Linked DNA regions of Oryzias latipes. The protein of the gene in region 2 binds, or shares a complex with, the protein of the main gene of each other region. Links are inferred from orthologs where the notes say so. Each region holds a gene or a part of one and is shown on either strand. Other genes may lie near its edges.

What was found.
Region 1: the proteins of bmpr2 (region 2) and inhbb are in contact, whole or in part, in a crystal structure (PDB 7U5O), measured with the Homo sapiens proteins. The link is inferred for Oryzias latipes from reciprocal best matches to the Homo sapiens genes BMPR2 and INHBB. Residues at the interface, in NP_001195.2 of Homo sapiens: Tyr40, Tyr67, Leu69, Val80, Lys81, Trp85, Ser86, His87, Ile88, Gly89, Asp90, Gln92, Ile108, Gln109, Tyr113, Phe115; in NP_002184.2 of Homo sapiens: Phe309, Asn318, Asp319, Ile322, Ala323, Pro324, Gly326, Tyr327, Tyr328, Thr379, Met380, Ser381, Met382, Leu383, Phe385, Asp386, Asn390, Ile391, Val392, Lys393, Asp395, Ile400.

Annotation. Positions count from the first base shown.
Region 1 is NC_019860.2:10,773,177-10,788,830, reverse strand, and holds inhbb (inhibin beta B chain), read left to right. Parts: upstream 1-3,778; 5' UTR 3,779-6,189; coding exon 6,190-6,571; intron 6,572-9,329; coding exon 9,330-10,108; 3' UTR 10,109-13,913; downstream 13,914-15,654. UniProt on the Homo sapiens protein: Inhibins and activins inhibit and activate, respectively, the secretion of follitropin by the pituitary gland.
Region 2 is NC_019860.2:15,318,261-15,333,914, reverse strand, and holds part of bmpr2 (bone morphogenetic protein receptor type-2), read right to left. Parts: intron 9,679-15,654; exon of another isoform or gene 9,412-9,678; intron 9,084-9,411; coding exon 8,976-9,083; intron 8,967-8,975; exon of another isoform or gene 8,857-8,966; coding exon 8,765-8,856; exon of another isoform or gene 8,707-8,764; intron 8,521-8,706; exon of another isoform or gene 8,412-8,520; intron 5,797-8,411; coding exon 5,566-5,796; intron 5,168-5,565; coding exon 5,053-5,167; intron 4,518-5,052; coding exon 4,357-4,517; intron 4,207-4,356; coding exon 4,059-4,206; intron 3,937-4,058; coding exon 3,800-3,936; intron 3,253-3,799; coding exon 3,080-3,252; intron 1,982-3,079; coding exon 672-1,981; intron 1-671. UniProt on the Homo sapiens protein: On ligand binding, forms a receptor complex consisting of two type II and two type I transmembrane serine/threonine kinases.

The DNA.
Region 1 (15,654 bases), about 4.5 Mb from region 2:
TGGACTGGTGTGCTCTGAACCACCTGCACATCAACGGCAGCAAGACGAAGGAGGTGGTGATCGACTTCAGCAGGAAACCACATCTGACTGCACCGGTGAACATCCAGGGCTTGGACATCGAGGTCGTGGAGGACTATAAATACCTGGGTGTTCACCTAAACAATAAACTGGACTGGACACACAACACAAATGCCCTGTACAAGAAGGGCCAAAGTCATCTCCACCTGCTCAGACGACTGAGGTCCTTTGGGGTGTGCAGGACACTGCTACGAACTTTTTATGACTCTGTGGTGGCTTCAGCCATCCTTTATGCAGTGGTCTGCTGGAGCAGCAGAAGCTCGGAGAGAGACAGGAAGAGACTGAACAAGCTGGTAAGACGGGCCGGCTCTGTCCTGGACTGCTCCCTGGACTCCATCGAGGAGGTGGGTGAGAAGAGGATGTTAGCCAAGCTGACATCAATCATGGACAACCCTTCTCACCCACTGTATCAGTCTGTTTCAGACCTCAGCAGCTCCTTCAGTGGCAGACTGCTGCACCCACGATGCAAAAAGGAACGCTACCGCAGGTCCTTCATCCCAGCTGCCATCAGGCTGTTCAACACCAGCCTAAGTAAATAGTTTCATAGTTTTTGTTTTTTATTCACTGTACAAAACTGTATATACAGATGACCTCTATATACCTGCACATCTCTTTCCCTGTTTATTTATCAGAACACTCTTACTTTTGTATGTATTCTTTCAAATGTGTGTCTGTCTAACTTGTCATTACTGTCTGTACATACTTGTGCCAAACTCCATGCTACTGTGACAAGGAAATTTCCCATTCGTGGGATTAATAAACAAATCTAATCTAACTTCTTTTTTAGAGCGTGCATTATCACTGTGGATTATCACTTTTTATACCATGGTCTGGGTAAATACTCAATTCTGATTGGCCGCTGCTTGTGCTCTACAGTTTTTCTCCAATGGTTTGGCTCATTTCTTGAAACAGAAATTACATTCTCAAAACAACATGGACAAACCTCCAAACTACTTGGCAATTGTTCACAACAGAATGGAATTTCTCATTAATTTCATCAAATTGCAAATGTCTTAGTATATGTCTCAATGTCTCAGTACATCTTTGCAAAATAATTAAGTACAGGTAGTCTTCATTTAGCACAATTTCCAAGTGAATAGATCTTGTTGATCCAAACTGTTGATTCTCAGTCTAATGGTTGTTCGCTCCAAAATGAGTCAGCATCATTTCATTGTGTAAGTCATCACATGCACAATATGACTCTTCTGTATGACTGATTTGATGTTTTCTTTTTTTACGCCATTGTAGAGAATAATGGCATTGGAAGGAAATGAGACTCCTCAAATCCTCGTGTTTGTGGATGAAGCTGTGGATGAAGCTGGCCTTAATATTATTGCCCACTGGGCCACGGTGGATGTCCCAGGCCAGCGAGGGGGCAATATAACTATGTGTGCTGGCATATCTGAGAATGGTGTGGCCAACCACATCCCCAGTCTTGGCCCATACAATACACAGAAGCTCCTCATCTTCTTGGACCGCCTTCATTTTGATTTGATCCCTGAAAATGAGAGAGATCTCTTAGGGCCTCACCCACCACTATATGTTATTGTACGGGACAATGTGAATTTCCACCGTGGCCCGCTCACAGGGCCTGGTTCACTACTCATCCAACGATGGTCATAGTGTTCCTTCCACCTTACTCTCCTTTCCTCAATCCTATTGAGGAGTTTTTCTCCGCTTGGAGGTGGAGAGTGTATGAGCATAAGGCTCAAGATCAGAAGTCCCTGCTCCATGCAATGGATGCTGTGTGTGAGGATATTACTTGAGATCAGTGTAGGGGATGGTTACAACATGCACGCCGTTTCTACTCTCGTTGCATCACAAGGGAGAATATACGCTGTGATGTGGACGAGAATCTGTGGCCATACAGACAGCAGCGTGTGGACGGCCAGCAGGGTGAGGACGATGGCCAGGAGAAGGAGGGTGAGGACAGCGACCAGTGAAGAACTAGTTGTGAAACTCAAGCATCCTTTACAGCACTGTAGGCTGCATATCATTTTCATTGTTTTTTGTTTGTGTGTAATTATAAAGTACATTATAGATAGATAGATAGATAGATAGATAGATAGATAGATAGATAGATAGATAGATAGATAGATAGATAGATAGATAGATAGATAGATAGATAGATAGATAGATAGATAGATAGATAGATAGATAGATAGATAGATAGATAGATAGATAGATAGATAGATAGATAGATAGATAGATAGATAGATAGATAGATAGATAGATAGATAGATAGATAGATAGATAGATAGATAGATGACTTTATTAATCCCACAATGGGGAAATTTAATTTATCTGTGACAGCAACACGGCATTCAGAAATAATCTATATAATATAACATCAATAAAGGACATCACATTGACAAATGACAAATGACATTTATATTAAATAATTAAAAATATTACTAAAATTATTATGAAAAAATTATTATCAAAAATTAGATTCTTATTAAATAAAGAAATAAATATTAAATATTAAATAAATACAGCTGCAAAAGTGTAAAAAACATGCGGTCTGCAAAACATGTAAACTGTAAAAAAACATTACAAATTTTTTCAAAATACAGAAATAACTAATGAAGTTCACACCAAAAACAAAAACAAACAACTGTTCAGGAATAAAAATATATGCTGTATACATTTTCTTTTTACTCTGATGTATGAAAGTTACTTTATGTGTGTGAATGATAACGGTTACGATTTCCTTGGCAGTATGAGTGTAATGTGTGCTGGTAAACCTAAGAGGCTACTCTTAACCTAAAATCCTTTTTCTTTTTTTCCGTTTTATACAAAACTGTATTCTGTTAACTATACATAAACAGTACAGTAAACATTGTCAATGGTTCAACATTGATGGTAATGTTGATCAATTTCTATGTTTCTGACAGACCTTTCCTTAATTTCTCCCTCTTCGCAAAAGGTTTGGACCAGGGGTCACCAACCCTGTGCCCGCGGGCGCCAGTGCACCCCTTGTGGCGCCCGCAGGGAATGCACCCAAAAAAAATATATTTTTTTTTTTTATTGAAGCAAATATTCAACAAACAACCACGGCATGTCTGTCAATGACAACAATATCAATTCTGAGATAAAGGTAGACAAAGAAAACCATTAATGTGAGGATTAATATTCCTGTCTGTTTTTATTTACATTTATGTTTAAAAAGTTAAAATAAAGTTAAAGTTTTAAAGGTTTAAAAGTTTATTTTTAGTGTGTTCAATAAATATTTATCTTGTCCGGCTGCAACCTAAAGTCTGTTTTGAAATTAGGCTCCCTCTGCAACTGAGTTTGACACCCCCCCCCCCCCCCGTAATACGAGTCTAGAAAATTCATGCATGTTTTTGTGTGTAAAATGAGCAAATAAAAATAGGGCACACAAAAGGAAGTCCTCAAATTGTGTTGTTTTTTTTTGGGGGGGGGGGGGGCTAGGAGGTTTTTAGTGGCGCCCTTCATACCACTTGGTGCCCATGAAATAGCCCTCGGTCTCAAAAAGGTTGGTGAACCCTGGTTTGGACACCCTGTGTGAAGTAACCCTTGTGCTATCCTGGGCACTTTAACATTGGGAGTTGGGTCATCTAGACCCACTAGACAGTGCTCTGAACCTTTTTTCTTCAATGATTTGTGATCTTCACTGGTGTCCATGGATTACATGAAATATTTCCACCTTTATCCACCTTTGTCATGGTAGGGAGAACATGTCAATGTAAGGGTGGGGTCATCTAAGATAGCACAAGGGACAAACAGTAGAAAGCTCAGTTTACCAGCTTCTTGAGGCGCTCACTGATGCATGTTGTAGTTTGCGTGTTTGGATCAAAGATGGCGCCATTTCCCCACTTTTCACCCTGATGTCAGGATCCGGAGCCGCTGGAGTGTTTAGGAGTTCACTTCCTCAACTTTTAACCTTGCATCTTAAATCTCTGAGCCAAAGAGTTTGCCATCATGAGGATTCAGACGCCTTGTGTTGTTGGAGGAGTGTGCCGGCGGTGGAGGTGGCGGGGGGTCTGGACTCCTCAGTCAAAGCAGTCAGCAAGGGTCAGAGGTCGACGCAGCTCTCGTGCCGTGATGGCCGGATTTGGTTTTGCAGTTTTTACTAACAAATGTCTGGAACGTCAAGCAGTGTCACTCGACCTCAGCGGGTCGGATCGTGTTGCATGAAAAAACGCACCGGGACATTTGAATATGGAGATCGTCCGGCCTGAGAGCTCCAGATTCAGGGCCTTTGTCGCTTTGTCATGTTTTAGTTTCAATCAAACTCTGACATGGGGAAACAGCGGGAAGTTACATCCTTTTCCAACAGACAGGGGAACTTTGAAGGACGCATATTAAAATCAAAAGAATGAATATTGCAATTGGTGCCAAACTGTAGCTGGAATAGGGTTGACGCAGAAGCTTCATGACTGAGTTTCCGGGAACTTTACTCCACAGTTTGGAAAATATTACAAAGCCAATTCCCCTTTCTAATATTTGGGAAAAGCTTTTTTTTTTTTTTTTTTATCTTATTTGTCCGTTTTGTAAATAAAAGCCACACAGCCACCTCTCATGCCCCAGTGATCAGACACTGCACCTTAATTTCTCCGCTTTTTAACTTTTGGATTTTCAAACTAAATCCTTATTGTTTGTTTGTGTCATTTTATTAAAGACAAGTGTTTCTAAACTGGAAAATGTAGTAATAACTAGACCAAAACTTTTTTTACAGTTCAAGTTGCTTTTTAGTTTTTGCATAAATGAAAAAATGCATAACCAATGTATATTTTGCACTGTAAAGCTAAATGTGATTTGCCTCCTCAAGAAAATTGAAATCTGAAAGTATTAAGGTTCAAATCTGAAAAGCTTCTCTTTCTTTTTTTTTTAAAAATAACCTCAATGTCAGCCAGTCTCATTAAATCTGGAGGCTGAGTGTAGTAACCTTGTCAGAGATAAATCAAATTTCTTTGTTACTATTCTTTCCCCCCAAATATAGTAAATTCACAAACAAAATAAATGTTCCAAGAGCAGAAGGATTTTAACAGTTGCTACTCTGCACAGTTTTGTCATTTTCACAATGCAGAATTTGGATTTCATTTGTCCCATAGCAGACATCAGCATCAGCAGGAGTTTTGTGCTAGAAAGTTGAACTTAAAATATGTGTTAACAAATAAAGATTTTTTTCCACTGATTATTAAAAATGAACAACTCCCAAAGGATATTGACGTCTGCAATTTAACTGCCATTTGAGGGCGCGTTGGTAATGCCAAACTCTGGCCTTACGGAAAGGTTCAAATCCCAGCTGGGACCTTTCTGTGTGGAGTTCTCCTTGAGCGTGTGCGGATATCCCCCACTCCGGCTACCTCCCACAGTCCAAAAACATGCTTCATAGGACCTGTTTAGGGTGTATCCTGCTTTTGCCCAACAGTAGCTGGATAGGCTCCAGCAACTCCGTGACCCTGACAAGGATTCTGCAGGTTCTGAGGATATTTCAGAGCTTCTCACACAGACATTGTACACCACTGTTTTCCTGGCAGTTGATCATGCGCGCCGGTGTTTGTTGTGTGACGGGGGTGTGGCTCCACGCACACGCTCAGGCTGACAGCGAAGGGGTTCCTCAGGGAGAGCTGCTTTGCCCCGCCCACAGTGTAAAGTATAAAACTTTTGGGTGCGCAACGCCTCGAGTCTTACAAAACGCCAGGATGGAGACGCTCCTGCGCGCGCTTTCTGGCACAGCTCCCTCTTCTCCTCCTTCTCTTCATCAGACCGGGATTTCCCACCCGGGACGCTCAGGCTTGTAGAGACAGAGAGAGAAAAAAAACACAAGTGAGGAAGAGGATGGTGCCTGTGCACACAGGATGCTGTTGCGGAATTTGGATCTGGTTCTGTGGAATAATATGTTGACAGATCCGGACGACTGATGGTTTTGCTGAGGATGAGCATCCACATAACGATGTAATTTCCCAGTTTTCTGCGCGCACAGATCTTTGAGTGAAGCTGCATCCGAGTGCGTGAGAGCCGAGCGGCGCGCGCTCCGCATGGAGACGGCGCGGCTCTGAAGGATCCCTTTTTTCTGTCTGTTAATGACTTTGACTCTGGGAGCAGAAAGAAAACCTGCCTCCACTCTTTCTCACACAGAAAATGAGTAGCTGTCCCCTCCGGCTGGCTCTCCTTGTGGCTTGCGTCCTCTATATTCGCTGCACCACTGCGCCCGGCACCGAGGCTCCCCGGGGCGCGTGTGCGTCCTGCGCCGCCGCTCGGTCCGAGGACGCCGAGTCGGGGCGCGTGGACGGGGACTTATTAGAAGCGGTGAAGAGACACATTCTGACCCGACTGCAGCTGCGGGAAAGACCAAACATCACGCACCCTGTGCCTAAAGCCGCCATGGTGACTGCGCTGCGGAAGCTCCATGCGGGGAAGCTACGCGAGGACGGCAGGGTGGAGATCCCGGACCTGGATGGGCATCCGATGAGCAACGAGGTTCTGGAGGAGAGCTCAGAGATCATCAGCTTTGCGGAGAAAGGTGCGTCATGGAGACATTTAAATTGTCCCTTTTACGTTTTTTTTATTTTAAACTCACGCGTCAGGTTCGCGCTGCAACAGAGACAAAGGAGATTAGAAAAGCTGTTGAGAGAAAACGCTTTAGATTGATCCTTCATGATAAGGCTTCCTGACAGCCGGCGCACTGCAGGCAGCAATGCAATAGACTGGACACTTGTTGTTCTGGGCACATATCGTATAAAGTAATATTAAATCTGAAGTTGACGCGCGCAGTCGTGCGCTCAAGCAAAACAAACTACAGCCGAATCTGTGCGTTATTTGGTATTTGGGCCCCTACTGCTGGGTCCTTTTCTCATTTTTTGTTGATATTTTAAAGCATTAAAAACAAAGATTCAGTTTAATCTGAAACAAAGTCAGGAAGTTTCTTCTGGATGCCAAACGGAGAGCTTAGGAGTTGGAGCGGCTCTCCGCGTCCCAGCACAGAGACGCACCTCACCCGGCCCGGAGAGGCTGAGGAGGCAGGAGGTGGTCAGTGATGTCTGCTTGTTCCCACGTGTGGGGTGTGAGCGCGCGTGATTTTTATTTTTTTGGTTGGAGTGTTTTTGCACTATTGCGCGCGTCTGTTTCAGAGCTTGGAGCGTTTTCTTTGGGTTGCGCAGCCTGAATGCTGAATGCAGATTGACGGGATGCTTTTGCCTTTGTGGCCTTAAAAAAAGAATCATGTTCGTGCACAAAAGGCAGGAAAGAATCAGTCAAACATTAGCGCCCAACATTAGGAACCAAAAGCTGATAAATCTGGACGCGTTCTTCTCCAAAATCAGCATTTTGTCAAATCGAATTTTTCTCAGGATAAAAACGTTGAACTTTTGCAGAAGTTTTCCTCTTGGCTCAAACTCTACCATTTTTTTTCCACGCATGAAATTTCTCTGAGATGTGTTTGAAAAGGAACTGTTCACATGTAAAATGTAAGCAATAAAAATACCTTAAGGCTCTGTCTGTGGATGTTCGCAACTCAACCCAAAGCTCTTGTTTTCTTTAATGTCAACATTTTCCAGAAAACAACTTTAGATTCGGCTCATTGTCTTCACTCTGATGGAGCTGCCAGGCTCAGCTTCTGCTAAGTTCTGGCCTTGGAAAAAGGGATGCCAGATTGATTGCTGTTTTAGTCTAGTTTTGGCACATTGAGCCTCGGATGGGCCGCCTTGGGGTCGTGTGAGGTGAGCCGAATAAGGATCATGTGCAACTTTTGGTTGGGACTGGAACTGATTTATTTCAAGCAATCAGAATGAAAAATACTAAAGAAGGCAACAAAAGCAATCTATACCTATACATAGATGTATCAAACTTTAGATGAATAATCATGAATTCATTGGAAAAATAAAATAGAGGATGCTTAAACATCCAAATACATGTGTTAATGATATCACTAATCAATAAATTGACACATTTGTAAATATAAATTCAATATTTGACACTTTGTATCGATTAAATGTTAAGTCTGTCAAAAGGCGTTGCTTGAAAAGCAGTTTTTGACCCTTCATCATATAAGGTTCATAAAAAATTGGAATCATCTTACAAGCACAAATTTCAAACTAATAAAGTATTTACCTTGATTTATTTTCCATCAACATCCAAAAAGACTCAGTGTTGATGCAGAATTCATGAGAAAAAAACAGAATCATTTTGAGGATGTGAAGAGGAAGGGAGCAGCTCTCTTGTCCAGGATGAGATTTAAAGCGAGCAGCATGCGTGTTCAGAGATCAGACTAAAGCGTCCCTTGTTGTAAAGCTTTTGAGAATCTGTTGTATTTTGAAATTTGCAAGACATTTCTGCACATTGGAGCCTGAACCTGCTCCAATGTTCCTCCCCTCCACAACCATAGGAAGGTTGATGCAGACTCAGAAACCTTCTCACCTTTGAATGACGAGCCATGAAATTCCATAAATCCTCCATTGTCCATATTTTGCCATGATCACGGGCCCTTACATGAGTTCTGAAAGTTCCAACATCTGATCTTCTTCATCTGACAACTTGTCGGCGACTTCCTGCGTGTCGTCTTTGCCTTTAAGTCCTGAACATTAGAAACGCAGAAATACATCAATGAAGCAGAATTACGTTTATGTTCTCGCAGAGAGAGAGAGAGTGGATTTAGAGCTGCAGGGGGGAGTGTTAAAGGGGTACACAATCTCTGGAGGGTCTGGAAGAAGGGAAGGATTCAAAATGTCCTGGTGTTTCTTCCACAAGCCCAATAGGTGATGTTTCTTGAAGCAATGATTTCACACTCTAAAAACTTCATGGTTAAAAAAAACAACCCGATTTAGCTAAACTCCTAGGTTAAAAACTTTTTGGTGGGTTTTAACTCTGGAAAAAAAAGGATAAAGTTGATTAAAATGAAACCCTGCGATAGACTGGCGACCTGTCCAGGGTGCCCCCTCCCTGGATAGGCTCCGGCAGCCCCGTGACCCCGAAAGGGAATAAACAGAAGAAGATGAATGAATGAATGAAACCAAATCTAATCTAACTCCCCAAAATTGGTATTACTCCAAAACGTTACCAAAAAATAAATCCCAACACGAATAATCCAAAAATTGGGTTGAAGAAACAACCCAAGTATTTTAAGATTTCGTGTTTAGGTACGATTTTCGACTCAATCCGCTATCATTTCCACATGTTTGGGTTAATTTCATGGGGTCTTAGGTCTTCTCCTCCTTGTAGCAGACATGATACACCAGCTCTACTGTCTGATGTTGTTGTTGAGGTGTTTGTCTTGTCCTTCTCAGATGACCTGGTCACATCTAAGTCCAGCCTGTTCTTCCTGATCTCCAGCGAGGGAAACCAGAACCTCCGGGTGATCCAAGCCACCCTGTGGCTCTACTTTAAGCTGCTGCCTTCTCCGACAGAGGAGCGCGGCAAGCGGAAGGTGACGACGAAAGTCTACTACCAGGAGCCCGGCCTCGGCAGCAAGTGGAACCTGGTGGAGAAGCGGGTGGAGCTGAGGCGCAGCGGCTGGCACACCTTCACCCTGACGGAGGCCGTCCGGCTGGTGTTTGAGAAAGGCGGTGACAGGCGTCAAAACCTGGACGTGCGCTGCGACGGCTGCGAGGCCGAGGGCGTCGTGCCCGTCTTGCTCAATCTGAATGACGACTCGCACCGACCTTTCCTGGTAGTGCGGGCGAGGCAAGCAGACGCAAAGCACCGCATTCGGAAGCGGGGGCTGGAGTGCGACGGCAGCAGTGACCTGTGCTGCCGCCAGCAGTTCTACATAGACTTCCGGCTAATCGGCTGGAATGACTGGATCATCGCGCCGTCGGGATACTTTGGGAACTACTGTGAGGGGGACTGCCCCCCCTACATGGCGGGGGTCCCCGGATCGGCCTCTTCCTTTCACACGGCCGTGGTGAACCAGTACCGCATGCGGGGCAAGAGCCCCGTCTCCATGAACTCCTGCTGCATCCCCACCAAGCTCAGCACCATGTCCATGCTCTACTTCGATGACGAGTACAACATCGTGAAGCGGGACGTTCCCAACATGATTGTGGACGAATGCGGTTGTGCGTGAGGGCCCAGTTGAACTGAGAACTCCACACAATATTCCAGCAACTAATGCATATAGAATATTTATGGACAATGAAGAAAACGTGCACACACCCACTTCCACAAGTATCTACACATCCCCATGTATGCCTGCACAGAAACTTGTACATATATTTATGTTTGTTGACTTTTTTGGTCATATCCAACATAACCTCGGCCGTATCCGTTCAGCCCCCTTCTCTTCTTCATCGCTTTGAAAACAATCAGCTTCTCATTAGATATCTCCAAGATGGTGAGGAAGACTTTGGTCCAGCCTTTGCTGAGCTGCATAATCAGATAAAATGCTGCTGCTGTCGGCTGAGTTGTTCAGTAAATTTAAAGCTACATTCACACCGCCCCCGGCAATGCGCGTTCAAGTGGCTGCTTCCAATGGACAGTCTATGTAAACACCCGTTTTGGGCTTCCACGTTCAAAACGCTACGCAAGTTTCTACAACCGTTTTCGGGCTATATGCACAAAACATGCATCCATTGTGTTGAAAGTTAAACCAGTTAAGATTTCAGTCAGGCACTCTGATTTGGTAGTGACGTGTGGATGGCGTTCCTTTTAATTCACGGAAGTACCAAACATTGGAAAATTGATGATGAGGGACAGATTAATAATTGTGGTTTGTGTTTGGCTGGAATTCTATGACACTGAGTCTTTCATCTATCAGAATAGAGAAAAAGCCTGGAGCAAGATTCAGGAGATTTTCATCACTTTGACATTTGGCACACAGTCTATACCAATATGTACTAGAATCAGGCAGCAATCTTGAACAAGCGTCACGTGAACGTAGCTTTAGGCGGAAAGACCAGATCGTCTCTTCATGAGGTGAAGGGGGGCCTTACCCAACAAATCAGCTGTGAGCAGCAACTATGAAGCCTCCTTTAATTAACAAACAGCACTTCAGGCCTGCAGTCACAATCGTTTTTACCGTTCCGGCAACAAAACAGAGCTTTTTCTTTCAATAGAAGGCAAAAGATGGAGATGTCATTCCTGAAGTCTGAGAGAAAAACCATGTCTGGTATTAAATTTAGTTTAGAGATACAGCAGCAACACAAACTCCGATATATGAACTGTTACTATTATCATTAGTAATATCTTTTACATATTGTATGTTATTAGATTTGCATTAAACAAGCATTTCTAATTGCGAAAGGAAAGTGAAACAAGAAACACCTTAAAACCATTGTTCTCGTTGATTAAATCAAACGTTTTTCAATCAAATTCCTACATTTTTGTCAAATCAACAAACCACAGAACATCAGGAACAACATCTCCCTTCTCTGCCTGCCTTTTGGAATCAAAAATGTCTGGTTGACGAAGGTCCTTAACTCTTGTTTCATTCAGTGAAAGCGAGGCATTGCCATATCGGTGAAGCTTTGCACTCCCGGACGCACACTTTGAAAGCACTTGCAGATTGAAAATGCCTTTAAGAAGCCCTCGGCGATGCGTCATTAGAGTCTCTCTAAAGTAAATGAATGCCGCACGAGCTATGCAATGTATAGTCTATACCCACAAATCCGACAACTAAAGCCCTTACTGGACAAACTATCAGTAATACTTGAAATGTGAGAGTGGCAGGCTGAGACGGGCGGGGTTTCAGGAGGGAGGAGCAATCATGAGACTTTTAAAAAATACGTCGTCCAGAACTTACTGTATGGAAGCTTTTCAGTCCAAAATTGGAGGTTGGAGGAGCAGTGATGAACTCAAAACTAGAAAACAGCATCATCTTTAGGTTTCTATGATTACAAAACTGTTTTTACATGAAAAGAAAACATGTTTCAGGGACAAAATAAACAGATAATGTTAGTTTGGAAATATAATTTAATGACAATCAGTAAGGTATTTTTTAATTACATTACAATTATGAATTATTGACTGAAATGTTTAAAATGACTGTTTCTAGATGCTAAAAGCACAACAGATCATAATAAGTGTTTACATTTTTTTGGGTATCTATGGCACATGGTGAGAAAAAATAAATATTTTTTTGTGGTTAAAAACGTATTTTACTGAAAGTAAAAAACTAAAAACTCAACACAACCAGTCAACTGGACAGCTGAGTTGGTTTATAAGCTTAACACTGAAGTTTGACCACCTGAAAGCACTAAGTGCTGCAGGTCACTGAAAGATCAACAGATGCCACTTTATCTGGATTATTTTAGGTTTTGTGTTCTTCTAAAGGCACTTGCTGGATGTTACAAATGATGATAAGCTTCCTAAACCTATTTGTGCACATGTTAACAAAAAAGTAAACTTAAAAAACACTGAAGTTATCAGGGCTCAAAGCCAAAAGGAGCTTCATCTGACATCTAAAGTTCACCACATAGGAAAGAAAATGATTTCATGGACAAATAATATTTATTTTTAAGATGTATTTATTTTTCAATATCTAGAAAAACATAATTAAAATTGAGCCTTCACAAAAACTTTACTTCACAGGCAGTACTAACAATGCCCACCTGTGTATGGGTGCTTTTGACAGAAATTTGGAGACAGTAAACCTTTGTTGCTGTCACGACACAGATTTTATTGCAAAGATTTGTCTTTATTTCTTTCCAGTTTTTAAAAGTTGCGACCTAAGTTTCAGGATCTGGTGATTTGAAATCAAATTTGCCACATTTTGTTAAAGTGATCAAGTCCTCAAGTACATCTCTGCGGTACTCCATAACAGATTTTATTACAAAGATTTGTCTCTATACCTTTGAAGTTTTCAAAAGTTGTGACCTAACTGTGTTAATTTGAAATAAAATCTGGAAAATTTTGTAAAAGTTATCAAGCCCTAAAATATATCCCTGATGGACTCCATATCAAATTGTGTTTCTAATTTTGGACTCTGTCACCTTTGAATTTTACTTTCCTGATTTGTTTGGACAAATGGAGGTGTCTTTAGTTGGTAAATGTAATTTGAGACATTTGAAATTGGAGATTTTGTAAGGATACTAGCCGCCAACAAGTCTCACAGAGATGACCAAACCTGTTTTCATTGTCAGACATGACGTGCAAGTGTATGTGCAAAGAACACTGAAAACACTCACTAAGAGTCACTGAATGACCTGTTGTGCTTTTCGACGATACAAACATCATAAAAGTTTATCTCACAAAATAAAATGGGATGCTGGTATGTAGAGAGGCAACCGGCGGCAAATCGCATTACAAACCCTGATTTCAGACGAGTGCGCCCAAACCAACATACGTTTACAGGCCTGTTATTTTGCACGTCTGTGGCGTTTATTCACAAATACCTGAGCCCCACATCCTGCTTATTATCTCCTCCTGTCCGACGCCCGCCCTCCCCCTCCCTTGCCTGCTGCTGGGATCTCTTATTCTTCAAAGGTTGTTAGAGTATTTGCACTGAGGAGTTGCGTGACTCGAGTCAGAAAAAGGAAATAAATAGAACTGCCATTGAAAGAAAAGAAGCTATTTTTGTAGAACCTGAGCTCTGTTCTGATGAACCGCATTGTGGAACCAAAGAGGCCGCCATGTTTTCTTCGTGTTGTGACTTTGTGACAGATAAAGAGGCCTAATCACTGTATCAGGGTATGATATCAGTCAATATTCAGCTCAAGCTCTTTTCTATTTTGTACCAAGACATGGAAAATATCATATTTTTTCATCAAAGTACTTAAATATTCCTAGTTTTCTTTTCTTGTTTCATTAGCTCTTGAATCATTTAGAAAGAAGCACATGCCATCCTTGTACAGACCATGTAACATATAAATATGCTTTTGAAATATTTCAGTCTTTGTAATTGTTGAAAATTAAATTTCTTATTACCAGTCGTATGGGTGTGTTGTGTTGTGTTAGTAAGATGCTCCATAATGACTCAACGTCAAGGTTGTTCTCATAAGTGCAGATGATAATGGGTTGGTCTTTTCTTCCAGTTCTAAACTGGATGTGAAAAGTTATATTGTTATGGTCCGTCTTCAGATTAAAACAGTTTTTCAACAATGGAAGTTTTTGTATTTTCAACTTTCATTGTAAAGAAATTGACATTTTTAAACATATTAGTCAGCCACAAATTGTGCAAGTTCTGCCACTTAAAAAGGTCTGTAATTTTCATCATAGGTAAACCTCAACTATGAGAGACAAATGAGAAAAAGAAAAAAAATCCAGAAAATCGCATTGTCTGGTTTTTAAAGAATTTATTTGTAAAGCATGGTAGAAAATAAAAATTTCGTCCCCTACAAACAAGCAAGATTTCTGGCTCTTACAGACCTGTAACTTCTTCTGTAAGAGGATCCTCTGTCCTCCACTTGTTACCTGTATTAATGGCTTCTGTTTGAACTCATTATCTATATAAAATACACCTGTCCACATCCTCAAACCGTCACACTTCAAAGTCCACTATGGGAAAACCAAAGAGCTGTCTAAGGACACCAGAAACCAAATTGTTGACCTGCACCAGGCTGGGAAGACTGATTCTGCAATAGTGAAGAGCTTGGTGTGAAGAAATCAACTGTGGGAGCAATTATTAGGAAATGGAAGACATACAAGACCACTGACCATCTCCCTCCATCTGGAACGCTCCGCAAGATCTCACCCCGTAAGGGTCAAAATGAACAGTGAGCAAAACTCCCAGAACCACACAGAGGGACCTAATGAATGACCTGCAGAGAGCTGGGACCAAAGTAACAAAGGCTACCATCAGTAACACACTATGCAGCCGGGGACTCAAATCCTGCTGTGCTAGACGTGTCCCCCTGCTAAAGCCAGTACATCTGCAGGCCCTTCCAAAGTTTGCTAGAGAGCATTTGGATGATCCAGAAGAGGATTTGGAGAATGTCCCATGGTCAGATGAATCCAAAATAGAACTTTTTGTAAGAACTCTACTCTGGATGAGGAAGAATGCTGAGTTGCATCCAAAGAACACCATACCTACTGTAAAGCATGGGGGTGGAAACATCATGCTTTGGGGCTGTTTTTCAGCAAAGGGACAAGGACGACTGATCTGTGTAAAGGAAAGAATGAATGGGGCCATCTATTGTCAGATTATGAGAGAAAAACTCCTTCCATTAGCGAGGGCTTTGAAGATGAAACATGGCTGGGTCTTTCAACTTGACAACCATCCAAAACACAGTGCCCGGGTAATGAAGGAGTGGCTTTGTAAGAAGCATTTCAAGGTCCTGGAGTGGCCTAGCCAGTCTCCAGATCTTAATCCCATAGAAAATCTTTGGATGTAGTTAAAAATCTATGTTGCCCAGCGACAGCCCCAAAACACCACTGCTCTAGAGGAGATCTGCATGGAGGAATGGACCGAAATTCCAGCAGCAGTTTGTGAAAACCTTGTAAAGACTTACAGAAAAGGCTTGACTGCTGTCATTTCCAACAAAAGATAATATACCAAAGTATTGAGTTGAACTTTTGTTGTTGACCAAATACTTATTTTCCACCATAATTTACAAATAAATACTTTACAAATCAGAAAATTTGATTTTCTTGATTTTTGTCTCATTTTGTCTCTCATGGTTGGGGTTTAACAATAATTAAAATTACAGGCCTCTCTCATCTTTTTAAGTGGGAGAA
Region 2 (15,654 bases):
AGGTTTAGTAAACGAAACCAGAAGACAAATGCATAAAAAAACACAATAACATTTTAACAGGATGAAAATTATATTTTGAAATGTGAACCAACAATGAATCGATCAAATATTTTTGGCTTTATTAGGAAGTTTTCCTTTATGTTTCGATGAAAAATATACGTTTTTTTTTTAAGTGAGACCCGGAGATTTTCTGAACAATGGCGGATTGTGAAATCGGGACCCGGAGTTGGAGATAATTACGTCTTTTTATAATTACACTTCCCAGATCAAAGTTGGATCAAATAAGCCAGGAAGATTTCGATCTCCATGCCTGGTTCACTACTCCTGTCTGTTCGGTTGCTAGGCGACAGGACATTCACAGATGTAACGGCTGGAATCACCTAAAGGCTAGACTCCAAATTCACAAATATCCGGCCTACCCGCTCGACGGAGGACCCAGCCAACGTCCCCCGGGAAGGCCGCGGCCACTGAAGGGCGCAGCCCTGGAATTTGGACACACCCATGTCTCCTCCGTCATCAATGTAATAATGGTTGACACTTCCGAGTCCCTGATTGGTCAAAGTTCAACGGGTTTAACTTTCAACGTGCGTTTAATGGCTGCTCGGTTTGTACGCTCGTAGAAACGTGTGGCGCATGAACACGAAGGTGTGAGCGTAGGTTGAAGAGCTCACCGATGGAGGTCAGGTCCTGCGTGGTGAAGGACAGGTCCAGCGAGTTGGGTCTCTCGGGTCGGCGGGCTCTGGGTTGCCGCGGCAGAACCTCGCCCCTCATGCTGACCGCAGCCTCCTTCTGCGCTTCTGCAGGTCCGGAGCTTTCCCCTGGAGGCCCGCCGCTTTCCCGGCTTCCCCCTTCTGCGCTTCCGCCCTCCTCCCCCCCGTCGCTCTCGCCGCCGCTCTCGCCGTCGCCTTGGCCGTGCCCCGTGTTGCTGTTGTTGTTGTTGGTGTTGGGGCGAGCCGAGTGCAATGCCCCCGCGGCGGCGTCTCTGAGGTCGGGCTGCTCTCGGCTCAGCAGCGGCTCGTTTTCGTCGGGGCTGGCTGTGATCAGGCCCAGGCCCAGGCGGCCGTCGTCGGACGTCAGGGCTCCGGACCCGTTCTGGAGCATGCTGGGCCCTCCGAACCCCGCCGCTCCGCCGGGCGCCATGGATGACATCCCTGCAGCTGTGAGCCCGTTGACGTTCACGCTCCCGTTGGCGTGTGCGTCCCGCATTGCTGGAACGTTGTTTGTGCCGGCGCCCCTGTGGGCCTCGGTCGAGTTCGAGCCAGTCCCTGCACCGACGTTCATCTTGTTTCCGTCCACCTGTCGCAGATTGGACTTCCCCGAGCGTCCGAACTTGAACCGAAGCGAGGATGAGGACGACTCCTTCTTGGCGGGCTTGTTGCGCAGTGGCAGACTGGACGGCCTCTTTGGCAGGTTTTGCTGCTTGGGCAGTGGGAAGATGGTGTTGGGCATCGCCGCAGGGGAGTCGGACGTTCCCGAGGCCTCGCTGGCCATCTTGATGAGGGGGTACAGCAGGCTGGAACTGCCCGGGCTCAGCGGGTCTGGAGAGCAGAACTGCTTCTGTGAGTGCTCCATCAGGTTCTCATCAGAGCTCTCCTTCAGGTTCTTATCCACCTCCTTAGGATCCAGTTTGGTGGTCTCCAGGTCTTCCTGGGTCAGGTGTAGGCAGACGGGGACCGAGGTGACCCCAGCGGGACCATCTGACTCCGAGATGGTGGTGGTGGTGGTTGTGGTGGAGGTGGAGGGGCTGCCTCTTTGGCCCATGCTGGTGCTGCCGCCCTCTGGGCTGGGCAGGCGGGCGTTGGCTTGCTGCTGGCGCTCCTGGTTGATGGAGTTCCTGTTTCTCTCTCCGGTTCCGGCCCCGGATCTGCCAGTGATGGAGTTGGTGGCGTCGGCCTGCGTGTTCTTGGGGACTCCTTCATGCTCCTCGATGTACGTGGAGGGATGGTCAGTGTACGGGCCGCTCTTTGGGGTCATACGGTTTCTGTAAAAAGTTAATGGGACGAAAACAAAGACGTGAATGAAAAGTTTGACATCGTAGCTCAAGTTTTGCGATAAAGGTTTGAGCACAGAAGCCAATGATGTCCTCACGACTTGAATCATGTGCTTTTTGACATTATTTTGGTAGGGTTAGCTCAAGGTCTCCGGCTGTTCGTCAAAATAATATTATTTTATTTGCTAAATAAATAATATTTAGCAAAAATGAACAACAGATTTTCTAAAAATGAAGGAAACGTTGGACACAATGACTGCCAAGAGCCCTGACCACTTGATGAACTTGCTATGCGAAAGCTATTAGATATGATGTACCACAGGGCACTGAACTTGGGCCAATACTTTTTTTAATATTAATATGCACTTTTGCATTTTTTCAGTTACTAAAACTGTTTTTTTTTACTTTTTGATTTAAGAATGTTAAATTTTATGAAGGAAACTTTTTAAATTAAGGGAAATTTTGACACAATGACTAACAAGTCTGGAATCAGAACCTTTGACCACTTGATGAACTTGCTAAGCTAAAGCTATCAGATATGGTGTACCACAGGGTGCTAAACTCAGGCCAAAACGTTTTTGATCTTGATATGCACTTGCATTTTTTTCAATAAAATGTTTTCATGTTCATTTTTTATGTACAATATTGTAACTTTATTAATGAAACGTTCAAAATACATAGAAATTTAGACCCAATGACTGTCTGACTTGGAATTGGAACCCCTCACAAACCCCCCTGAGGTACTTGTAAAGCTAAAGCTATCAGATATGGCATACCACAGGGAACTGAGCTCGGGCCAATATTTTTATAGTTTCAAATTCTTTTCTATTAGTTTTAATGTACAAATTAATAATTTTATTAAAAAATACTATTCATAACAGATTTTCTTAAAATGAAAGGATATTTGGACCCAATGACTGCCAAGTCTGGAATTGGAACCCCTGACAACCTGAGGAACTTGTAAAGCTATCAGATATGGTGTACCACAGGGCACTGAGCTCGGGCCAATACTTTTAGAAACTTTATATTTTATACCAAACAAGCAGGTCTTTAGTGTATATTTGATAAAGGGTCATATTGGGGACCCACCTCTCATTGTGCAGCGTGGTGGACATGGGGTTGAGCGTGGGACTGACGGATTTGGAGCGGTCCCATATGAGCAGCAGCTCTGCCAGCCGCTCCTCCGCGCACTGGGCAGTGAGGCGAGCCTCGGCGTCCGGGTCCCAGCAGTCCTCCATCGTCTCCTTCAGAGAGCGGACGGCCTGAAGCAGAAGAGACGATCACAGATCACTGGCGTAACTGCAGGGACCTGTTCTTTAGTCAGGAGTGACTTTCTATTTGGAGAAGACCCCAATCACAGCTCGTCTTCTAATTGCTGATGATGTAATACAAAGATTCCTGATATTTTGTTTGGATGCTGAACCAAAGCCCCTCCCCCACCGCTGTAGCCCTTTAGTGTAATGATCCGTGGATCAGAACTGCTCCGGCGTTCATGTGGATCTGAGCTACAGTCAAACGGGTCTGTTTTTACCACAGACGATGTGAGTTACTAAGAAAACGAAGCATGCTGAGAAAGTAGAATGGAAATGTTCAGACGGTTCTTTGAGACATTTAGACAAAATACCCTCAAAACACCGGTTTCCTTTGACGCAAGCAGTTTATCAGACTTGATATTGGATTTGAAAAAAAAAATAGATTTTCCCCCCAAAATGGTTGTTTTATTTAAAAAAAACAGTTTTTGTTACAGAATCCAGAGCAGTTCTGCGCCTGGCAGACGGTGAACTCTGGCTCAGCTCCTCACAAACCTACCAGGCTGTTCTCCTTCCAGGCTTCTGGGAATTTGGGTCGTTGCTTCTCCCTGGAGACCAGGACCTGCATGTCCTCAAAAGTTGGGTGGTTCCCCACTTCCGCCTGAAAAGCCATCTGGTACTCTGGCACCGACTCTCCTGCAGGAAGGCAGAGGGACGGGCGGACGATGGGTTCTGAGATCAGATCCGTTTCCAAAACAACAAAAAAGGGGGACGCAGACTTAAAAAAAAAAAAAAAAAAGTCCGACAGAGTTCCTCACCTGGGAAGAGGTCGCTGCAGCGCATGAACGTCTCCCAGTAGACGAGGCCCAGCGCGTACATGTCCACCTGCTTCAGAGCCGACTCGCAGTCCCTCAGGTTCACGGCGCCCTCCAGCACCTCCGGCGCCATGTAGCGGATCGTTCCCACCTGGAAGACGGGGATGTGTGGGGAAAACCAGGTTTCATGTTCCAGTCACATACATATTACAGTGAAAAGGACAAACAAAGCTTTATTTTGGAAATGACAGTCTAAAAAACCCAAATATTATTAATAAAACAGCTTTGCCTGGGTCTTTACCTCACTGATGGCGGCGTTCTCCTCCTCGCCATGGCGCGCCGGCCTGTTCCCCGTCAGCTTCATGGACAGACCGAAATCGATGATGACGCACGTGCCGTCGGCTTTGGCCAGGATGTTCCTGCTGTTCAGGTCTCTGTGCGACACCGCCGGCTTGTACAAGTCTTTACAAAGAAAAAAAACAAAACGACAAAAGTTCACAAACTTCTTTTTTCCTTTTTAAATCGCCCCCGCCGGTTGCAGTTCCAGGCGCTGTCCAGCAGGTGGTGCAGCCAGGCAGCTGCAGATTCGTACCATTGGCTTGTGGTTTTCTGCCGTCCCTGCAGCTTCCTGTGCTCATCACTCCTGAATCATTTCAGCGTTTTTACCCAAATCACATCAATTCTTTTGACTTGGACGTCACTTTAGTGCAGTTTGATGTTTATCTACGCTGATGAGGAGAAAAAAGGAAAGTACGGCCGGCGAGGCCGAGGCCCGGCGACAGAGCAGTGAGCCACACACATCCTCATAATTTATCCGCCTCCCTGGTTTCTCCCTTTTTTTCTTTCTTCTTTTTTTTTTTTTAACTGGCTGCAGGCAAAGGCTATAAATACCCTGAGCAGGGCGTGCATGCACTGTGTACATGATTGTTTGTCAAAATACTGCGAGAGAACACTCTGGAAGGCGAGGTGAAACACCACACTGTAGACCCCAGCTTACCCCCTTTAAAGATTTCCGTGTGCAGGTAGGCCAAGCCACGCGTGACCGAGTGGGCCAGCCGGCAGCTTCTGACCCAATCGTTAGTATGGAGGGTCAGATAGTGACTTAGGGAACCCTGAGGAGGAAAATTCAAACAATGAGACATTTGTATACTGATAAAGGGTGTTAATCTTTGGTTTTTAGAAACAGCCAATAGAAACAGCCAAAAATACTAGGAAAACAAACAGCTCTCCTCCTAATTTTGGGCATCGTTTCTAAAAATCCTCGTTCTTATTGATATTCTCCTCATCCTCTCGGCATCATCAAAGCTGGAGTTTCACTTCCATCAATTTGGTTTAAGACCCGACGCAAGCGAATTAAATCGATTATTCTTTATTCCAAAAGTCAATTTTGTTTGGTTTTTAAATAATAAGGGAATCAAACTGAACAAATGTGGAGCTTTTGTTATTATCGGTGTGAGGAAGAGCTGTGTTTTTGCCTGAAAACGTGGACTAGTAACAGCAGGAGGCTCACGTGTGGGTAATACTCCATGACCAGCAGGTACTCGGTGCGCCCCTCTGGGCCCGTGCGCTCGTCGGCGGCGATGAAGCGAGCGATGTTGTCGTGCTCCAGCAGCGGCAGGCGGTAGATGGAGCACTCGTTGAGGAAGTTCTGGCGGTTGCCGACGGTGAAAACCTTCACGGCGACGGGCTGCTCTTCCAGGGAGCCGCAGTACACGGCGCCGTACCGGCCGCGTCCAATCAGCTGAGGCGGGGGGAAGGGCGGGAGAGAGAAAAGGTAAATTTCTCAACATCCTGTGGGTTTCATACGTTTACAACTTTGCTAATCTATTAACACCAAACAACATTACACAGGAAAGAAAAATCTTAAGGGGGAAACAAGAGTCAGAAGGAAGAGATAGAGGAGGTAAACTAAATTACCCATCAGCAACTCGATTACACCGTTAACCCGTTCAGATCTGGGGCGGCCTTTGAGCACGGGAACTGCAGAGCGGGTTGAAACTCATTCAATTAGTGCCCTGAATTACCCAGAGCGCAACATGCTGTTAAGGCGGCCCCGGCCACTCCGCCTTAAAGAGCCGTTTCCACGGCAGTACGACGAGAACGCAGGGCCGCATTAACATGGCTCTAATTCCTGCCTCCAAACTTTATCTCGGGTTAGAAAACAAACCCTGGTAAACAATGAACTTGTTTAGTCTGTGACTGAGGCTCCACCGGCTTCCCGCCCCCACCACAGGCAACGAGTTTAATGTGAGAGAGCGTGTGCACATGATAAGACGCAAGGACGTTGTTCGGAATTCAACTGCACCCCATCTACGCCTAAAGGGAGACAACGAGGCTGCAGACCAGAAGCCCTGCGACGGGTTTTGGAAATGAAATCCATCATTTTTAAGCCCAAGTCTCTGTATTTAATTTCTTAAAACAGTTCAAATTAATACTTTATTGTCACAAATAATCAATAATCTACTTTTAAATCAATTAAAACAGGCAGTTGATGTTTCTATGTTCCCAAGAAAAAGGAGCTTTTATTTTGTAAACCTGAAAGCCATGTTCTGGAGCTAAAACATTAAAATAAAATATTGCTCTCAAGTCCAAAAACCTCAAGTTTCAAGTCTTGGAGGTCGAGTCTCTTCATTCAAGGCTTCAAGTTCGAGTCCCAATTCCCTATCTTTGTTTTTTTTTCCACTTTGTCTTGACCGTCAAAAAACATGCTAAAACTTTAGCCTCTAATCTGAAGGCTAATTTATATGATTTGATTAAAAAAAAGGTATATTAAAATGTTTTAGAGTCGGGTGATTGCATTACAATTAACACCTGTGATGTAATTTCCCTTAAAATATGTCAACTTCCAGATTGAAGCTCTTTAAAAAACAAAAGTGCAGTTCATTACATAACCACTAGGGGCTTGTGGCTTGTAACTGTTTTCTGACTTTATTTTTTGAATCTTTTCTTGTTAAAGCAGATAATATAAAGTAGCTTAGTGTTACATACTGTCACGTTTCTCTTTTTATTTTGCATTGTTTTTTCCGTTAGTTTTTGCATGTTTTACGTTGCTAAAGCTTTCTGGATCTCTGAAAAAAACTCTTTGAGACACTTTTATATTGAAACCTTATGTTTCAAGTCTTTGAGGTTGACTCTTAAGTGTAACTCAAGTCCCAGTTTTAAGTCCCAAGTCCCTATCTTAGGCTTGTTCTAACTTTACTCGACATGTTGATAAACATGCTAAGACATTAGCTTCTGATCACTAGCATTATATTTTTCAACACTGGTTTGCGTGACTTGAATAAAAAAAACGTATATAAAAATGTTTTAGAGTAAAATGATTGCATTAGAATGAAAAACTGTGGCGTAATTTGAAAGAAAAAAAAAGTCAACTTATTAAAGCTCATTAAAAAAGCTAAAGTGTAGTTCATCACAGAGCCACTAGGGGATTGTTACTCACCCTCCCCAATTTTTATTTGGTGTAATTGATTATTTATCAGGCATGTTTTTAGGATCAAAGCAGACACTATTGAGTGGTTATTAGTTTCACATTCTGTTAAATTTCGCCTTTTATTTATGTTTTTTTTTACATGTTGCTAAAGCCTTCTGCATCTCCGGAAAGCACCTTTAAATTCAAAAAGGCGCTGTACAAAAATAGCACTACTAAAAATAATAACATCTAGGGCTAATTTTTTTTTTGACTCTTCTTTACCTGCATGTGGTCATTTGGAAAAGCGTGTCCAGACCCGCAGGGAAAATGGAAAGTCTATTAACCTCTACTATAAACGCCGGTTTATATTTTTATCCAATGCATCAGAGAGAATTATGCTGAAAGCTTCAGGGGCCTCGTGTTGTTTGCTTCACATTAGGGAGGCCGCCTTGTTAGCATGAGTCATCCTCTGCAAAATCAGAAAAATCAAAATCCACTGACGAAGGCTTCTTTGTTAAATGTTTTGCTGCCGCACCTGCTCACCTTTTTCTACTTTCAGTTTCCAATTTTTCCTCTGCACACACACACACACACACACACACACACACACACACACACACACACACACACACACACACACACACACACACACACATACACACACATATACATATATATACACACACATATATATATATATATATCTCAGCCTATTCCTGCTTCGGAAATTGGAGCAGAGACAAACAACCTGGTTCCTTGGCTAGTTTGCCTTTATCTGCTTAAACAGTCACTGTGGTTCGATTTCATGCAAACTATATTGACGTCCTCTCACAATGTTGGCTCTCCCATTTCCAGATCCGGTGTCAGTGTAAGCACATCCCTATTTTTATACGCCTGACCCGGAGCTTTATTCGCGCTGCCATGGTCGGATGATAAAAGTCACATTGAAATGACAAATGCAACTATAAACCTTGATGTATTTTTGGGCGCATCATTTTTTATATTTTTTTTCTCCTTCGGTTTCTTCTTTCTCCTCTTGTGTTTCTTTAAAAGCCGGTAAGAGCGTGGAATTTTTTTTTTTTTTTTTTCTCAGAAGCTTTTTTACTTCAGTATAAAAAGATCAATTTATATCCCAAAAAAAAAAACTTTCCATTTTTCGGTTGAAGTGGTGCAAAAATAAAAGCCCCTGTAGTGCTACACAAGCTTCTAATGGCTCTCTTTTTCTTTCTTTTTTTTTTGCAGTCGCTTGAAAGTTAGAAACCCCCAGAGACGGAGAAACGGGGAAGCTGGCGTGGCCGACCTCCAGCAGTTTGAGATTGTCCAGGTCCAGGGAGCTCTCGGAGGCAGCAGCTTCCATCATGTTCAGGTTGTGCAGGCCCTGTTTCCCGTCTCCTGACGACAACAACAACAGAAAAACACAACAACTCAGGTTCTTGCAGCACATTCTAGCGACCTTCGAAGATGACGATTCCTGCTCTCTTCCTCGCAAGCTCAGCGCCATGGTAACTCACCGTGCATCATGCGGTAACCGCAGAAGGCTGCTACAATGAGCACGGCCAGCACGGCGACCGTTGCCAGGGCAATAATTATGGTCTCTTCTTGGCGCAGTGTAGCAGGGTCTACAAAGCAAGAGAAAACATTTTTCTTTTAAACATAAAAGTAGGAATTTGATGAAAAAATGGTAAATGAAGAGGACATTTCTGGATGTGAACTTCTTCCGGGAGCCTTGGCCTATGTCTGTCAGCTGAATGCACACAAACTCCTTCAGCTTGACTGCTAAGATAACGCAAACATACATCATTTAAATGAAAAAGAAGCTAAAAACAAGGCCAATCTTGAAGCTGTAAGGATATATAAACAATGAAAAAGTGTGATTCTATTTTAAAAAAAAACTTGTTAAACATCTCAAACTGATTTTTTTCTTTTATTTGTTTTCTTGATCGACAGAACCATCAAAGACGTTCCGGGAAAAAGCGAAAAACCCTTTGAATACCAAGTAAACCGCACAAACCAGTTTGGTTTTTGTGTTGTGTCTGTTGCCATATTTTTACTAGATGGTCCCATCTGATTATGTTCAAAGTCAGATAAAGCCTGTTTTGCGTTCAGCTAGCCAAGAGTTGAAGCGAGTTCAAAGACTTGCATCGTACCATTTTATGGAAAACAGAATTCCTAAAATAACAAAATAAATAAAGAATCAAATGCTTGATACTTGAACAGTAGTACTTCTGTTTTTGCTTTCACACTGCACCTTTGAGAGTGGACAAACTACAAGAAATGCCCTGCACTTACAGGCTGCTCCATTAGAGGGCAGTGTTGCCCAAAAAAGGACTTTTCCTTCCTTAAAGCATTATGTTTACTAAATGGACTTTTTTTAAGGATTTTTTTTTCTTACTCAAAAAGTTGGTGCTGTTTCTGATTTGAGTAAAGTTTCCTTCTCAAATTCTCATCAGTTTTCGATACACAGTGGTCCCTCACTATGTTGTGGTTCACTTTTTGGAAACATTTTAGAGTAATTCTGCATGTTTTTATTATTTTTTTTTATAGTGCATTGTGTTCTAATCGGCTGTAGACCACTGTCAATCAATCTTAATACTTTCATTTTTTTTTAAACGGAAAATAAGACGTCACCAATTTCACAAAGTTAAAATCGAATTAATACAAGTATTTTACAACGAATATTTTTGAATCCACTGGTGACAAAAATGTTGGTTGTTTACTAAAAAAAACATTTAAACAGATTTATTTCGCAAAAATTGTTCAAACGGAATGCATTGTGGTCTAAATTGTGGTGAGCAGCGATGCATACTGGTTTTTCACAGCGACTTCTGGAAAATTTGTAGGGCACTGAATTTTAAAATTTTATATTCGAACAACACTACAAAATGGCGAACGCACTATCTAGTGAAGGAATTCGGACCCAACCTAAGTGCCTCTTGAACATCGTGTGTTCAATCTTTGGTAGCTAATAGATCTTTTTTTATGTTTTTATTTGAGAGTTTAAACGAGAGATAATAGTTTTGAAATGTTCATCAAAGTGCAGAGTGTCCTGAGGGGCTTTACAGCCTAAAAACATCGATCATTCCACTTTGCGAACTTCACCTAACGCAGGTTATTTTTACCAAAACGAGGGATCACTGTACTTCTTTTCAGTCTGTTTGCATTCACACTGTTGCTGAACCTCATCAGAGTTCACTTACAAGCTGATTTCCAAGCTTGTTAACGATGCAACAGATTTGACTATAACCTTCCACACCTGCAGAACCAGGTAGACCAAACAATCCACAACATCTCCACTTCAACCAAAAAAACAAAAAAAGAGCAATTTGAGGAAGTAAACTGAGAAGAGCTACAAACCAAAAGAGAATCTAATGTTTTGCAGATGTGGGTCAAGTTGTTGAAGCCTAATGCATGTTTCTATGAGGGGGAAAGGAAAAGGTGTTGCCACAGAAATACATGAACAACTGCTACAGTTTCTGGGTAAAGAGACATGAAGTATTTGCCGTGTGCTGTCGTGATTACTCATCTAAGTTGGTAGGTTCAGTTGGAAGAACGATCCTGATAATGAGGTTGATTTTGGAGCTGGTTTCTGTCATCCATGAGTCACCTGCAGCCTCTGACAGCAGATGCTCTGGTATGATTCTCAAACTTTATTTCACCCACCCAACAAATGAATGCCATAATAATGTTCACTTGCATACATTTAGTCCATTTGGTGATTGATTTTTTTCAGCTTTTCATTTCAGTTGGTTATTAAAAAACAGTTTTTACACAACCAATCACAACTTCTTAATATAAAAGCCGAAAGAAAACCATTTTTTTTAAATCAAAAAACAATCCAAGAAATTCCTTTTTTAAAGGAAAATCCATCAATGGATTTTAGGATTTGATCTTAAAGATCCACTCCAATGAAAATGCTGTTTTATGTGTCATTTTTCGGATGATGGAGGACGTCTATTGAGAAAATTGAGCTCAAAATCTGAATTCAAATTGTCTGAAAACATCGGTCGTTTGAAAAAAGCCCATATTTGTGACATCGAAAGTACGCCGGCCGGGTCATAAACAGAGAGCTCTCACCCACAACTCAGAGGCGAAGAAAATACGGATTTTGAGCGATTATCAAACTTGTAGTTGTATTTGTTTCTGCCTTAATGAGGTAAAGGTAAAACATTCTAGCAAAACTAACATATCTATAAAAAAAACAGACTGTATTGTGGACCATTTGGGCTGCTAACAGCAGACAGACAAAAAAACACACACATTTGAATGCCACCAGTGTATAAAGACCATCAAAACCACAGTTTAAGCTTGGAATTTAAGATGGAAGCAATGACCAAAGGTCTAGAATCTAAAACCTGTCTTTCTTCCAGAAAGAGGCCAAAGATTCACTAACCCACCACGAGTGCAGTGGTGCTACTGGGACACGCTGCTGTGGTCAATAAAAAATGGCTTCTAGAAGCGACACGTTTTACACACTGTGCATGACAAGGCCCCACTCAAATGCCAAGGTCACCTTGACACAAGGGAGCCATCAGGAAAAACCGCTGACACACACACTTCTGTCTTCATATCTCCAACCCCAGCCTTCTCAGTCGTCGTGTTTCCAGTTGACAGCATCCGTTGCCTGAGCCCTCGTACAGGGTCAAATGCTTTATTGGAATCTGGATTACATGGTTTTTCACTAGATATTAAAAAAAAAAAGAAGTTGGCCCTTAAACCTGCATCAGAACATTTAAGAACTCTAATAGAACTCTATGGCCTATTAGGGTTGGGCGATGTCCCCTAATTTGGCCGTTGACGATGTTTGCTGTCAACCATCGTGATGGACGATGACATCGTGGGGGGGGGGGGGGGGGGGTTGTATTTTTACATTTTTCGTTCTTATATAACTGCTATTCGTTTTTTTGCTTTTTTCATTTTATTTCCCAACTAATGACTAATCCGCGATGATCCAGTATAAACTGAGGGAAGTGACTTTAACAGAAAAAGTAACAAGCAAAATAGAAGAGAAGTGTAGTCGCTCCCGCACTTAATTAGTGAAGTGGACCGGCGGAGCGCGGAATTAAAGCTTTGTGTTTGATGGGAAGGGGGGGGGGGGTACATGAGCGGTATGTGTGGGAGATTTAAGACTGCGATCCGTCCTGCAGCTCTAGGGGTACAAGCAACCGAACTCAGAACCGGGTCTAAACGTGTGTGTCTGAGCACAGCTCGGATCGTCAGCACACACAGCGGTTTGAGCATCAAAGCAGAAATGTCGCTCAGTCCTTAGAAAACATTCAAACAATCACGTGGATTTGTGTTTCCAGTCGTGTCCCGACTAAATAAAGGCTGATGTTATTCTTACACGTTTACGTGCAGCGCCACCCAAAGCTAATGTTGTTAGCCCGTGTTAGCATACTGCTAATCCTGGCTCCGTTCAGAAAAAGCACTGACCACACGGATTAAAATTCAAATGATGAGCGAACAGGTGTTTGATAATAACCGTAACATTATTAAAAGCACGTTTAAGGCCCGTACACACCGGGACGAATATTCGCCAGGCGTTATTCGCCAGCGTTTTTCGCCACGTTTTTTGTGTTCACACCCAGGCGATTTTCGCTGACGATGAGTGGAGTGAACATGCAATTTCATTCCCTGACATTAGATGGCGCTTAATGTAAAACAGAAATACTCCTGTACACAAGGTGGCGCTGCGCAACTTTACGCTTCTGAAAGTCGCTTTTCACTCAGAAGAAGAGAGCAAGTATTTACACGCTTGTCAGAATCAAACAAAGAAAACATGAATATTTCAAGCACCAGTAGCTCCAACTGGTGCTTGGTTCGGGGATATTTTAGAATGTCCGTCATTATTGCTTCGCGGTTGTGTAGACGCTACTTGGCGTCTATCTTCTTCGCTGGTATGTGTGCTCAGCAAGGCAGTTTTGTGTTTGAGCGCCCCCAAGTTGTGTTTTACTGTAACTTCAGAAGCTCCAGACACGTGAGCAAAAGCGCCATTCTCATTGGTCGAGGCGTTTTTTTTTTTTTTTGACGCTTTAACGCCTGGCGTTTTTTCGCGTCGGTGTGCACACTCTCGTTGGTGCCCTTTGTTTAGTCACGAGGCGTTAAACGTCGGCGAAAATCGCCGGCGAAATTCGTCCCGGTGTGAACAGGCCTTTAGAAGATCGTCTCGTATTTTACCGAGCTGACATGTCAATATATATAGCCGCTCGGTGCTGTTATCGTTTTGTATTGAATTGTTACATCCAATAAAGTTTGGAAAAAAAAGCCGCTCGGCGGAAGTTGTATCCCCTTCCGGTTTTCAAACTGCGCATGTGCGAATACTGCGCATGTGCGAATGATTTATTCCGACCGAAATTGTGACCTTAGTGAACGTTTTTATATTCTGAAAACATTTTTCTGGGCCCATCTACACGGTTGGATTCCAATCCGACCATTGATCCCATCAAGATATTTTGTACATGTAACCGCGGCTTATGGTGTCGACGCGCAACGTGGCGGGGGCGTGGCATCACGATGGTGGTCTCTCCATCGGGATGTCAGTCACCCATCACGATGGACGATGATATCGTCCATCGGCACAACCCTATGGCCTATCTCTTGGTGTTGTGACCCATCAGAGGGACAACCTCTTAAAAACGTGAAATCACTTGAACTTTTTCAGACTGCATTAATGTTACACCGATAGACCAGTTTCCTTTGTTTAATCCAATTGTCAGTCCAAACTTGTATGATAAAAGTGCTAGTTGCCTCACAAAAATCTGACTTGTTCATAAGGAACCACACAAAACCACTTGACAAATCTCATGTTACTACGGCAACGACATGGGTATGGGAAGAATTTTAGGAAATATCGGCACCATGAAAAGCTGTAAAAACCTTTTTTTTTTTGGTGTTCCGATGAGAATTAATGTCTCCACCCACAACCATCGTGATGGACGATGACATCGTGGGGGGGGGGGGGGGGGGGTTGTATTTTTACATTTTTCGTTCTTATATAACTGCTATTCGTTTTTTTGCTTTTTTCATTTTATTTCCCAACTAATGACTAATCCGCGATGATCCAGTATAAACTGAGGGAAGTGACTTTAACAGAAAAAGTAACAAGCAAAATAGAAGAGAAGTGTAGTCGCTCCCGCACTTAATTAGTGAAGTGGACCGGCGGAGCGCGGAATTAAAGCTTTGTGTTTGATGGGAAGGGGGGGGGGGGTACATGAGCGGTATGTGTGGGAGATTTAAGACTGCGATCCGTCCTGCAGCTCTAGGGGTACAAGCAACCGAACTCAGAACCGGGTCTAAACGTGTGTGTCTGAGCACAGCTCGGATCGTCAGCACACACAGCGGTTTGAGCATCAAAGCAGAAATGTCGCTCAGTCCTTAGAAAACATTCAAACAATCACGTGGATTTGTGTTTCCAGTCGTGTCCCGACTAAATAAAGGCTGATGTTATTCTTACACGTTTACGTGCAGCGCCACCCAAAGCTAATGTTGTTAGCCCGTGTTAGCATACTGCTAATCCTGGCTCCGTTCAGAAAAAGCACTGACCACACGGATTAAAATTCAAATGATGAGCGAACAGGTGTTTGATAATAACCGTAACATTATTAAAAGCACGTTTAAGGCCCGTACACACCGGGACGAATATTCGCCAGGCGTTATTCGCCAGCGTTTTTCGCCACGTTTTTTGTGTTCACACCCAGGCGATTTTCGCTGACGATGAGTGGAGTGAACATGCAATTTCATTCCCTGACATTAGATGGCGCTTAATGTAAAACAGAAATACTCCTGTACACAAGGTGGCGCTGCGCAACTTTACGCTTCTGAAAGTCGCTTTTCACTCAGAAGAAGAGAGCAAGTATTTACACGCTTGTCAGAATCAAACAAAGAAAACATGAATATTTCAAGCACCAGTAGCTCCAACTGGTGCTTGGTTCGGGGATATTTTAGAATGTCCGTCATTATTGCTTCGCGGTTGTGTAGACGCTACTTGGCGTCTATCTTCTTCGCTGGTATGTGTGCTCAGCAAGGCAGTTTTGTGTTTGAGCGCCCCCAAGTTGTGTTTTACTGTAACTTCAGAAGCTCCAGACACGTGAGCAAAAGCGCCATTCTCATTGGTCGAGGCGTTTTTTTTTTTTTTTTGACGCTTTAACGCCTGGCGTTTTTTCGCGTCGGTGTGCACACTCTCGTTGGTGCCCT